Linked DNA regions of Nothobranchius furzeri. The protein of the gene in region 1 interacts with the protein of each later gene in a pairwise test. Links are inferred from orthologs where the notes say so. Each region holds a gene or a part of one and is shown in the gene's direction. Other genes may lie near its edges. The genes, in order: raf1a, rras and rras2.

What was found.
Region 2: the proteins of raf1a (region 1) and rras interact in a two-hybrid assay, tested with the Homo sapiens proteins (2 studies listed by BioGRID). The link is inferred for Nothobranchius furzeri from reciprocal best matches to the Homo sapiens genes RAF1 and RRAS.
Region 3: the proteins of raf1a (region 1) and rras2 interact in a two-hybrid assay, tested with the Homo sapiens proteins (2 studies listed by BioGRID and IntAct). The link is inferred for Nothobranchius furzeri from reciprocal best matches to the Homo sapiens genes RAF1 and RRAS2.

Annotation. Positions count from the first base shown.
Region 1 is NC_091755.1:58,343,411-58,347,160, forward strand, and holds the start of raf1a (raf-1 proto-oncogene, serine/threonine kinase a), read left to right. Parts: upstream 1-934; 5' UTR 935-1,165; coding exon 1,166-1,417; intron 1,418-1,518; coding exon 1,519-1,631; intron 1,632-1,727; coding exon 1,728-1,830; intron 1,831-1,916; coding exon 1,917-2,074; intron 2,075-2,499; coding exon 2,500-2,589; intron 2,590-3,608; coding exon 3,609-3,750. UniProt on the Homo sapiens protein: Serine/threonine-protein kinase that acts as a regulatory link between the membrane-associated Ras GTPases and the MAPK/ERK cascade, and this critical regulatory link functions as a switch determining cell fate decisions including proliferation, differentiation, apoptosis, survival and oncogenic transformation.
Region 2 is NC_091758.1:13,997,716-14,001,465, forward strand, and holds the start of rras (ras-related protein R-Ras), read left to right. Parts: upstream 1-1,137; 5' UTR 1,138-1,724; coding exon 1,725-1,811; intron 1,812-2,369; coding exon 2,370-2,457; intron 2,458-2,931; coding exon 2,932-3,034; intron 3,035-3,750. UniProt on the Homo sapiens protein: GTP-binding protein with GTPase activity, likely involved in the regulation of MAPK signaling pathway and thereby controlling multiple cellular processes. Regulates the organization of the actin cytoskeleton.
Region 3 is NC_091749.1:61,866,956-61,870,705, reverse strand, and holds the start of rras2 (ras-related protein R-Ras2), read left to right. Parts: upstream 1-1,134; 5' UTR 1,135-1,463; coding exon 1,464-1,565; intron 1,566-3,750. UniProt on the Homo sapiens protein: GTP-binding protein with GTPase activity, involved in the regulation of MAPK signaling pathway and thereby controlling multiple cellular processes. Regulates craniofacial development.

The DNA of each region.
Region 1 (3,750 bases):
TGGTAAGCATGTACGATCTACCGGTCCTAGCACTTCACTACTATTGATACACGCTTGAAAGCCGAACTTTTAGTGTTAAAACCGGTTCTTTTTCAGACACATTAACACAAAATACAGGTTAAACCATTAAAAACCGAGCAGAAGTTCAGTTCGCTGTTTCAGGGAGGGCCTGCTGGCTGCTTCGCTGTTTTTGGTGAAACTGTCGAGCTTTATTTAAAAACACACTCGCTGCTACCCTCAACGTATCATTTTAAAGCACGAGAAAACCCACACGAGTATCCCAAATAGCTGTTTGTCCCTTGTTTGGTTTGAATGCTACACACTAGCAGCATTCATGCTAACCTGCTACATGTCAAAATCACATATGTGGACGTTTGATGAAGCAGCCATGTCGTTGTTGTAAACTGAACTCATGCTTGGGATGAATCAAGCGTTTGCAACAAATCTCCAGCGTTTAGCCTGTCTGCAGCAGATGTGCATTAACACAAGTACAGCAGACATGATAACAACACGAGTGTCTTCAGGGTCAGCAGCCTCCTGTATAAACCTGCAGGGTGGTGGTAAACACGTGAATGTCAAGAATAAACAAAAACCTTTTGGTTGTTTACATTAAGCTCAGTAGTTTGTGATGGAAACAATCCAGGTGAGTGGGTTTATTTGATGGCCTGGCCTTTTGTTTTCAGGAAACACATTTTGCATGAAATAGTCAGTTTAGCTCAGCTCATTGTTTTCTTCTTCTGGTTTATTAGCATATATAGGCCACACGCGACTCTTTTTGCGTGTTATAAACTTCCAGCCGAGACAAAAAGACCCGCAGAAACACACAACTCTGCAGTTTGGATTAGCTCAGTGTTTCTGGCTTTTCTCAGTAATTAATATGTTTTTATGCCACAATCCCCACATGCGATCTCTATTTAAAGGTTGCTGGAGGTGAGATTAAGTTTTGAGATTAAACCTTACAGCGCTCTAACCCAAATCTCATGTTTTGCCACTTTTCCCCCCCTGGTGTTTTAATCAACCGTGTCCAGGCCAGCAGATGCTGTTTCTCATTGTCAGCATAAACATTGTGTCTGTATGCCCCAAAACATGCATTTCTGCAGCTTTTGTGTTCTAGTTAAGAGAGCCAGTAAATGAGGAATGCACCCACAGAGATGGATGAGATCCAATGTGTTCCTTTGTGATCTGCATAGATTGTTGTGAGTATTTAGTTTTACTGATGGAGCACCTTCAAGGAGCGTGGAGAACCCTGAGTAACGGCTTTGGAATGAAGGACTCTGCGTTTGAGGGTCCCTGCCTTTCCCCGACTATGGTCCAGGGCTTTCCCCACCAGCGACGCTCCTCAGATGACAGCAAGGTGCCAGACTCGAAGGCTAGTAGCACAATCCGTGTCTACCTCCCAAACCAGCAACGCACGGTGGTGAGTTAGTTCTGCATTAGGAAACGCGTTTAGAGTTTCCACATTTAACACGGCGACCTCTGAATTCAGATCATAATTATTTGTAATTTCCCGTGTGTCAGGTAAACGTGCGACCAGGTTTGACTTTGTACACGTGTCTGATTAAAGCCCTGAAGGTGCGAGGGCTGCAGCCTCAGTGCTGCGCCGTCTTCAAGCTGCACCCAGGTCAGAGAAGGTGAGTTCAGGGTTTTTGGACAATTGTAACCAGAAGTAAGAAGATCACATGCTTATGTTTCTCCCCCTTTATTTCTACGGTTTGTTTTCCAACCAGTAGAAAATCTCGGATGGACTGGAACACTGACTCCACCTCTCTAATTGGGGAAGAGCTGCTGGTCGAGGTTTTAGATCACGTTCCGCTGACGACCCATAATTTTGTAAGCACCCAAGTCCTCTGCAGCGCCCTCACCTCCGCGTCCAGCGGCTAAATCAACACGTTCAAAATGCTTTCTGTCATTTCCAGGCTCGGAAGACCTATCTTAAGCTAGCCTTCTGCGATATTTGCCAGAAGTTTCTTTTAAATGGTTTCCGCTGTCAAACATGTGGCTACAAATTCCACGAACACTGTAGCACCAAAGTGCCCACGATGTGTGTGGACTGGAGCAACATCAGACAGCTCCTGTAAGTATCTGAGAGGGGTCTCTTATTATAAAAACAACTTTTGATTAAATGGGGGAAAATGGTGACATGGTGAAGCACAACATTTTTAACAAACAAATTACAAAAAAATACACCAATTAAAATAAGCAAGTCAGCACACGCACAGTTCGTTTATCTCCCTCGGGCTTTATAATTTGATTTATATTAGAAATGAGCTCACCCAAACTTTCTGCAAAGATGAACAGTAGAAGGAAGCTCTGCTGATATCCCAGTTTGCATAGGGGTGTGCTCATTTGCATCCTGGCACTGCCAAAAAGGCCGTTTTGTTTCATTTTGCATGCAGGCTGTAGATGAACAGTAATTCTGTAAAGATTAGTGTCATTTGCACACTGCTCTGTTGTAAACACACCCTCCTCAGGACTTTAGTCTCTTGTTTCTGTCGGCAGGTTGTGTCCGGTCCCCGGGGAGAGCGGCACCCCGTCACTGCCGCCGCTCACCTCTCGACGGATGAGAGAGTCTCTGTCACGGTTTCCAAGGTGACGTTGCTTCTCTCTACTTATTCATCACAAACCCTCTGCAGAAGGATAAAACAAGGTTTTATTATGCAGGTGAAACTGGAACAATACTTCAGAATATGGTCCATTTATTTATGTAATCCAGATTAGACTGAGAGGCCATCTAAAGGCTCAGGAAAACCTTTGCAGGTGTTTCAAGTTGAATTACTGACATAAATGAACTTTTGCACTGTTATAAGTTTAATTACCTCCAGATTAACATCAAGCTGTTGTAGACTAGATTACAGATTAGATGTTATTCGGCTCACATGTGGTCAAGTTTGGACTTTTTTAGGATCATATTTTAATTGTGTTGTATGTGTTTAAAAGGCTGTCTTTGCTTCAGGGAAGCTTATCAGTGGAAGGAATGATGTAACGCCGGGTGTGAAAAACAGCCTGTTGTTTTGATGGCTGATAAAGTGGTTTAAAAAAAACACCCAGGGTTGCTAAATTGGCTGTCGCTGCAAGTTGTTCCTTGCAGAAAAATGCGAAATGCTCGACAGGAATATTAATTCCTGTTGTCTAAAGCGGGACTGCTCATGAAGAACACCAAGGCGAGGTTCTGCTCAAAAACACAAACAGCCGGTTCCTCTGCGCCGCTTCTGGACGATTTCTCTGCAGATCCGAGAGCGGCTTTGCGCTGCTGTAGGATTAGCATATCTGGCTGGAAGGTTTTGTGCTCTTTAACCGATCTGGACACAAAGCCGCTCAGCCACACACGGCTAAAGAGGAAGACCAGTAACAAATACGAGCCCACTAGCTACTTCCCTTAAACAATGTAGTTTCACTCTTTGCTGTTTACCACACAGCTAAGGCATGTAATGGCTTCTGGTGCTGAATGTGTGGCAGTAGTCCAACGTAAACAAGGGTGCTTGACTGAGGAGAGTTAATGAGGCCACCTCACCCACACCCACACCCTCACCCGAAGATGTGGCCGACAGAAGCATCCACTGCTGGTTTGGTCGTTTTTAGCTAAAGGCTCGATTGTCATCCTGTCACAGCTCAGCCCACCGAAATTCCACCCCCCACGCCTTCAACTACGCCACATCGTACCAACCCACAGGCGGCGGTCTCTCCCAACGGCAGCGCTCCACCTCCACGCCCAACGTCCACATGGTCAGCACCGCCCTGCCCGTGGACAGC
Region 2 (3,750 bases), on another chromosome or scaffold:
AGAGCTCTGTGAACAGCCAGCCTCTTTAACAATGACCTGTTGTGTCTTGCCCTCTTTATGCAAGGCGTCAGTGGTCGTCTTTTAGAGAACTTCCCCGTGATTGTGTACGAACTAGACTGAGAGATCATTCAGAGGCTTTCACAGGTGTTTTGATTTGATCGGCTGATTAGTGATGTGTCGGTCGCGAACGATGCGGCTCTAAGAGCCAGCTCTTTGAAGTGAACGACGGGAGCCGGCTTGTCATTGGGAGCCGTCCCATCCCCCCCTCCCCCCTGCCTTGGTGAAAGCTACAGGCGATTGGTCAACATGTGTAACTGTGTGTCCAGACTGTCCACACACAGAGCAGTAGGGGTGGGGAAGAGGGAGGATCATACTCAGACAGACACACAGCAGAGCACATGCGGGTGGAGGGAGACGAGAGGGAATCAGGAGCAGGAAAAAGGCGAGCGAGAGGGAGGAGAGCGCGACGAAGACGGTGAGAAAATGAGCGCCAGCAGTCGGAAAATGGAGATTTCTTAAAGTGTTCAGTTATTAAATCCATAGAATGATAAATATTTGATATATTGCTTTTTTTTACATTAGTAAATTATTTTACATATAGTTTAGCATTATTTTGGTTATAAATGTATTCTACGAAACAGAAAATCTGAGGAGCCACTTGGGAGCCGAAAGAGCCTGCTCTTTTTGGTGAGCTGAGCCAAAAGAATCGGCTCTCTAAAAAGAGCCGGAATTCCCATCACTATGGCTGATTATTGTGGCACCAGGGGTCTTCACTATAGAACTTTTTCACAATATTCTAATGTTCTGACTGAGATACAGAATTTGGGATTTTCACTAGTTCAGTTACAATCATCAAAATCAGAAGAAATAAACATTTGAAATATATTATAAAAGTTTCACTTTTTAAATGGAATAACTGAAATAAATGTATTTTATCATGAGATTCTAATTTTAGGACGCGCATGTGAGGGTGAACTCTAAAAACAGGATGAGAGCAGTAAAAGCGGTAATCAGAGTAAATACAGCTTTATTTTATAAACCCCATTAAAGTCGAGCTCCTGTGGAGCCGCTGCAGGTCTCTACTCGAGGCTACAGAGTTCGGCTTGGCGCGGGTCCAGTCCGGAAGTAGTTCTGCGTAGCTGGAGGCTAGGGGCCGGTTCCAGATCCAACACCGAGCCGGGTTTTATTAGGAAGCGAGGTCCCGAAGCGGCGGGAAACGGCGACTGTAATCGGAAACACGTTTTAGGAGCTCTCGTGACGTCACGGACCCTCCAAATTACCAAATAAGGAGAACGACACAAAAAGTTTAGTTTAGAGTGGACTCGGCACATCTGGACCAGGAGCGGCGTTTCGGACTCGAACGCCTCCGAACCCAACCCGGCTCGGCCCGTTAGCACGTCCGTAGCAGATTGTGTCGGTTCTGTTGAGTAGAAGGAGGAAGCGGTTCCGCCCAAAATCTGCCCCAGGCTCCGGAACCACAGCAGAACTCGACGGAACGAGAAGGCGCTTTTCCAGTGAATTTACCGGGCCAGCAGGGAGGGAAAGTCCGGTGGGACCGTTTCAGAACATGAGTTCAGAACCGCGGAGATAAAACCAGCCAAGCCTGTCTACTTGGGTTCACGGTACCGGGTGGACTTTACTTGGACTCTTTCTCAGTTCGGCCTTCAGTTGGACTAAAGCCTTGAAAAGGTTCGGTCCGGACGGAGTCTCCGGACTGACTCGGGATGAGCGGAGAGGAGGAGCGGTTCAAGCTGGTGGTGGTGGGCGGAGGAGGAGTGGGCAAGAGCGCCCTGACGATCCAGTTCATACAGGTAGGCCGGTCCGGTTCGGACCCGCTCACAACTCCTGAAGCTGCTCGTTAATGTTCTAGAGGTGGATCAGAACATCTGAAGTTCTTTAGAACGGGTCCCGTCGGGCCCGAGCGGTTCCCTCAGGTCCAGTAAGACCCACCAGAACAGTGTCCATAGGCTGGTTCTGGCCGAGTCGTTGGACCGGACCTGGTTTAGCTTCTTCAGGATCCAGTTATTGTTTCCGCCCTTAACTGTCACACGGATAGTTCTAATCTGGTTCTGTCCAGGACCCATGGTCCAACCAGAACCCAGCCCATAATGCTGTGGCTGATCTGTGTTCTGTGTGAGTACTGGATCAGAACCATTAGCCTAAGTTGATTACTCCAGGGGTCCATTAGAACCCGGTTCTGATGAGAGGGAGAACGGGTCTGACCAGGTAGTTCCATCAAACTGCTACCAGGTGAGCTGATGTCAGAGTAGAATCCGGACCAGTTTCGGGTCCACCTCTACAACAGTGGTTAATGATGATCGTGTACAGCTGGTTCTGGTTCTGGTTCTAACGCAGACTCTGCCCCACAGTCCTACTTCGTGTCAGACTATGACCCCACCATCGAGGACTCCTACAGCAAGGTCTGCAGCGTGGGCGGGAAGGAGACCCGGCTGGATGGTAGGCTCTGACTCACTTACACGCCTGGTGTTGCTCACAGGCACATGGGCAGAGTGTCTGCTCTGGAGGTTTCAGCAGCACCTTGTTTGGACTTGTCAGTGGGCCGATGCGGTCGGGGTGGGGTGTTCTGGGTTGTGCTGGTGTTTCACCACTCTGATGCAGGTTAACGCCGTCTGATCTCCTCTTACACCTCAAACAGAACCTCAGAACAAGCAGTGACCCGACCCGCTTGGGACAAAAGATCCGTTTATAGGAAGGAATGTTTCTCCATGACCTTGTTTTGGAATTGTAGCGACATGAAGTCTGTTTAGCTGCACTTCTTTTAATGGTTTCACCACATTTTTAACCCAAAACGGTCACATTTCAGCTAAAACGCACCAAAGTTCAACCGAACCTGGTGTGTTATCGTCCGGAGGGGATGCTAATGCTAACTCACTAGTGTGTGTGTCTGTGTGTGTGTGTGTGTGTGTTCAGTCCTGGATACAGCAGGTCAGGAAGAGTTTGGTGCCATGAGGGAGCAGTACATGCGCTCTGGAGAAGGATTCTTACTGGTGTTCGCCCTCAACGACCGGGGGAGGTAAGGTGTGTGTGTGTGTGTGTGTGTGTGTGTGTGCGTGTGTGTGTGGTGTCTGGGGGGTATTCCAGACCGTGAGTTTAGAACATCGGGGATCTCCTGATGAATCCCTGCTTGACCTCCTTTGATTAAAGCTGTGTAGCTACCGTAAATCCTCTAATACAGGCCTGTTTACAATTAACTGCCGGGTATCATATTTTGGCCGGTGTCGGAGTCGGTGGAGGTGAATAATGGCCGGTTTTTTATTGTGGCCGGGTGGAATGTGGTAACAAGCAAGTACGGGGCGCGGTTGTGTCATCCGTCTCACTTTTGATTTGCCAGTGATAGACCGCGAGGGTAACTTTAACCGTGTGGAGACGAAGAGGAGGCAAAAATTTGATATCAAGTTCAAAGAGAACGTGCTGATTATGCTGCAGAACACTCTGGGGAGCAGTAGCAGGGGGTGTATGAACTAGTCGACTTCACCGCTCTGTAGTGACTTTTTATGCCCGTCATCGACTAGTCGCTGTCACGTGATAATGACCGGCAAGATGCAGTCCTCGGAAAAGACAGCAGCCTGCTGTCAGCAGGTGACAAGCTCCTGCGCTCGGGGGGGGCAACGCGCTGTGCCAGAGCGTCGGTACTGACACGCGATCGTTCATGTCGGTTCGTTTCATTTAATGTTTTCTGTCTATTTGCGCCTGAAGCGTTTTGCTGCTGTGGAGCGGGGCGCATCAACT
Region 3 (3,750 bases), on another chromosome or scaffold:
GGTCCACTGGGTGGCGCTCATCAGTAAAATTGAACATAATTTATAACCTCATGCTACATGATGACATGCAATCAGTCCTTTTATCCAACTCGGTCCTTAATATCAGGTAAATGGGTTTCTGTTCTCTCTTCTACACTCAACACAAAACTTGTAACTGTCAATAAAACAAAACCAGGTCATTTTTTCATTTCAGCTTTGTTGAGACAGATATAAATGCATACTTTTCAAAAATAAACAACAACTGTACACTGAGTAAATAATTCCTTAGATTTAAAAACTAATATCTAGCATGCATTATTATGTTAATAGAAATGCACCCATTCTGGTTTCACAGGCCAATACTGATGTCCTGTTCTTGCACATCTCTGACCTGCTGATAAAGATTCTTATTTATCTCAACTAATTTTCTTTTTATTGAATTGAAAGTTAGTACTTTGGAAGTAAAAAGTACCTTGCTGGAGATCAGTTATTAATTGCAGAAAGTTTTATGCTGATCGGCTGATCACAGAACTAAATGTTAACTAAATGTTAACTAAATATTAACCATGTGCAGCGCAGCTTTTTAGACATGGGGATTTTCTTAACCCTTTGATGCATAATGGTCACTACAGTGGACAGGTACTCAAAATTGTTATTTATTTATTTTTGCTATAAGCACAGCTGTTGAAGACTTTATTGCATGTGAGCCCCTCCATTTGGACTTCAGTAAGTCAAGCCAAAATATTTCATGGTCAGAATGCACGCTGTCCACCAAGGTGGATATGTAATAAATTATTTGTAAATTAACAAAATGTTACAAAAAATATTTGTTGAAATTTGTTTAATTTACACCTAAAGATGAATGAAAAAAATTGTTTAAAAAATCATGGTTGAAGATTTCATAATTCATGCATCAGAGGGTTAAGAAGAAAATGTAGGCTATTGGGGGGGGGGGTACATTTTGGGCATAATTGTAGTTATGAATGCAAAACATGTGAGTGAGGTTAAAGATTTAGTGACAGGAATGTGTGTGTGTGTGTGTGTGTGTGTGTGTGTGTGTGTGTGTGTGTGTGTGTGTGTGTGTGTGTGTGTGTGTGTGTGTGTGTGTGTGTGTGTGTGTGTGTGTGTGTGTGTGTGTGTGTGTCCATAGAGAAGAGGGGCAGGCAGACCGCCTTTGGAAGGGCCCCTTGCGCCAGACATTAGCAGTGGCTTGCAGATTACTCGCTCTATCTGATCATCTTGGACGGCGCAGTGTTGTAGAGGCCGGAACTCGGTCAGGCGGCCGCAGTTTTCCAGCATCCTCCTCCTCCCTCTTGATTCGAGCACGTACCGGACGAGTCGTTTCGGCTCACACGCCCGTCGCTTCTTCTCTGCGTTCCGGTGTCTCCACCGCAGGGCCTCCTCTTCAGTTTTTACAAGGAGGGGGAAAAGTGGGTGTTTGCTGCTCACTGGTGTTTCGGCAGCGGCGGCGTGAAGTGTCCTCAATGGCAGGCTGGAAGGACGGCTCGGTGCAGGAGAAGTACCGTCTGGTCGTGGTTGGAGGCGGAGGAGTCGGAAAATCAGCCCTGACGATCCAGTTTATTCAGGTCAGTCCGCGTCAGCGCTTCTTTTTATTTATCTGCTTATCTGAAAACACTCACGGCCATCACGCACCAGAGAAGGAGGCCAGGGTAAAGGACGTGTTTCTGGGCTCTTCTCGACTTTACTGGGGCCTGCGAGTGCTCACCGAGGGGCTGGTGAAAGATTTCAGAGCGAAATGGGGAGAAATGAACGATGGTGGCTGTCACTTTAACGATTTCCGAGAGGAACACTTCCACTTTATATAGCCGCGAGTCAAAAGAGAAAGAAAACTGGGTCTGCTCTGGTCCGCATTTTAAACTTAAACTTTTAAAGATAGTCTGTTTTCGTGTGAAGTTGTGCAAGTGTAAAGAACTTGAGCAGCAAACCACATCAGTCAGAAGCAGGGTGTTTTAAATAAAACAGAGTGCTTGTAAATCCGTTTTCAGATCCACCAAACTGCTGTGAGTCGTTCTGCTGTGTCTGCATGCTTCCATGGTGGTTAGACCTCTCCTGGTTCTGTAAAGTTCGCCAGATTTGGTCAGGGTCTGAGCCAGTTGTCATCACAGAACTTAACTTTAATGTGTTTGTGTGAATTTGTTCCATTTGTCACTTAGGGACAGTTTTGTGTTTGGGGGCAAAGGTGTTTCCTCTGCCCAGGTAGGGGGTGACAACCAGGGTTTACTACCCATTCATCATCTCAACCACTCCGTCCCCCACTAGGCTCACTGGGAGCTGGTGTCTGTCTCCAGTGGTCATCCGACAAGAGGCAGGTGACACCCTGGACAGGGTCTCCAGTCCGTCACAGAGACGCACCACCACTTACACACATTCAGTCACTCACACCTAGAGGACAGTTTTAGTTTCCAATCAGCCTGACGTGCACGATCTTGCTCTGCGGGAGGAAGCCGCAGTAGTCGGATGCATGCGAAAACATCCAAACAGAAAGACGGCGCAGACGGGATTTGAACCTGTGACCTTTTCGCTGCACTGCTAACCAACTACGCCGCCATGCAGGAACTAGACTGAGAAAGTAGAGTTGGGTTGAGTGAGTTTCAAACACACAACACACACGTTTCTAGTGAATGATGATTAACTTCTGAGTTCAGATACAGACTTTTTACCAGCTGCTGGTTAGGCCCATTTTCAAGCCTTTCCAGTAAGGTGGACATATAAATACCTCTGGAGATAACGCTTAACTTGCACCCCCTCTTCCCTCAAAAACAATGACATCACCAGTTTTACTGCAGCCCACTTGAAAACCCCTGATGTCTAATGTGAAAGGCATGTAAACAGTGTGCCTCCCTCTACCCCAGGTTGCATTCCTCCAGACACAGCCCGCCTCGCTTTGACCTTCCAGGCTTCCATAATAGTCACTTAGGAGTGGACTTCTTTACCAACACGCACGCACGCACGCACACACACACACACACTCTTCTTGCAAGAGATGACAAACGCTGACCTTTGCCACACGTATTCCACCCCTCCCTGTGTGTCAGTGTGGTACTGACGCTGCTGCTGGCTTCCAGGAGACCAGACAGCAGGCAACTGCATGTCTCCACGCCATCAGACAATAGTGGGCTGGCACACGCTTCAGCGTGGGGCTGAAAAGCTCCAGAGTGTGTGATTTGAAATAAGGGGGGAGTTGGGTATAATGAGAGTTCAAAAACCTCATTAAGTGCATACCAAGGGGGAAAAAAAAGGCATGGCTATGCTTTAGCCTACTGACCTGAAGTAGGAAAACATGTAAAGCTGCATTACGCAATGCAGACATGGGACCTTTCACTTGGTCTAGGGCTGGGCGATTAATCGAAAATTGATCGTTATTGAAATTTCTGACTAACTATATCAATATCGTTTTCCCCATGTTAATAAATTTGGTCATAAAAAAAGGTGTGTAGGTTGGCAATGTTTATGGCTCTTTTAAAAAGCTGTACCACTTAACATGACTCAACACAATGCAAGTGACATCCCCATCTACACGTAGATATCATCCTTTTACTGTTACCGAGGTGAACTCCTCAATATACCGCGACAATGATTTAAGGCCCTATCGCCCAGCCCTGACTTGGTTTAAACGTACTGGGGTGATATATGCCACAAAACACAACATTACATTATACCATAGACCAGTGGTCCTCAATAGGCGGCTTGTGGGTCTGGACCTCTTGCCTCTGGGTATTTATTTTTTTGGAGTGGCCCTCAGACCATTAT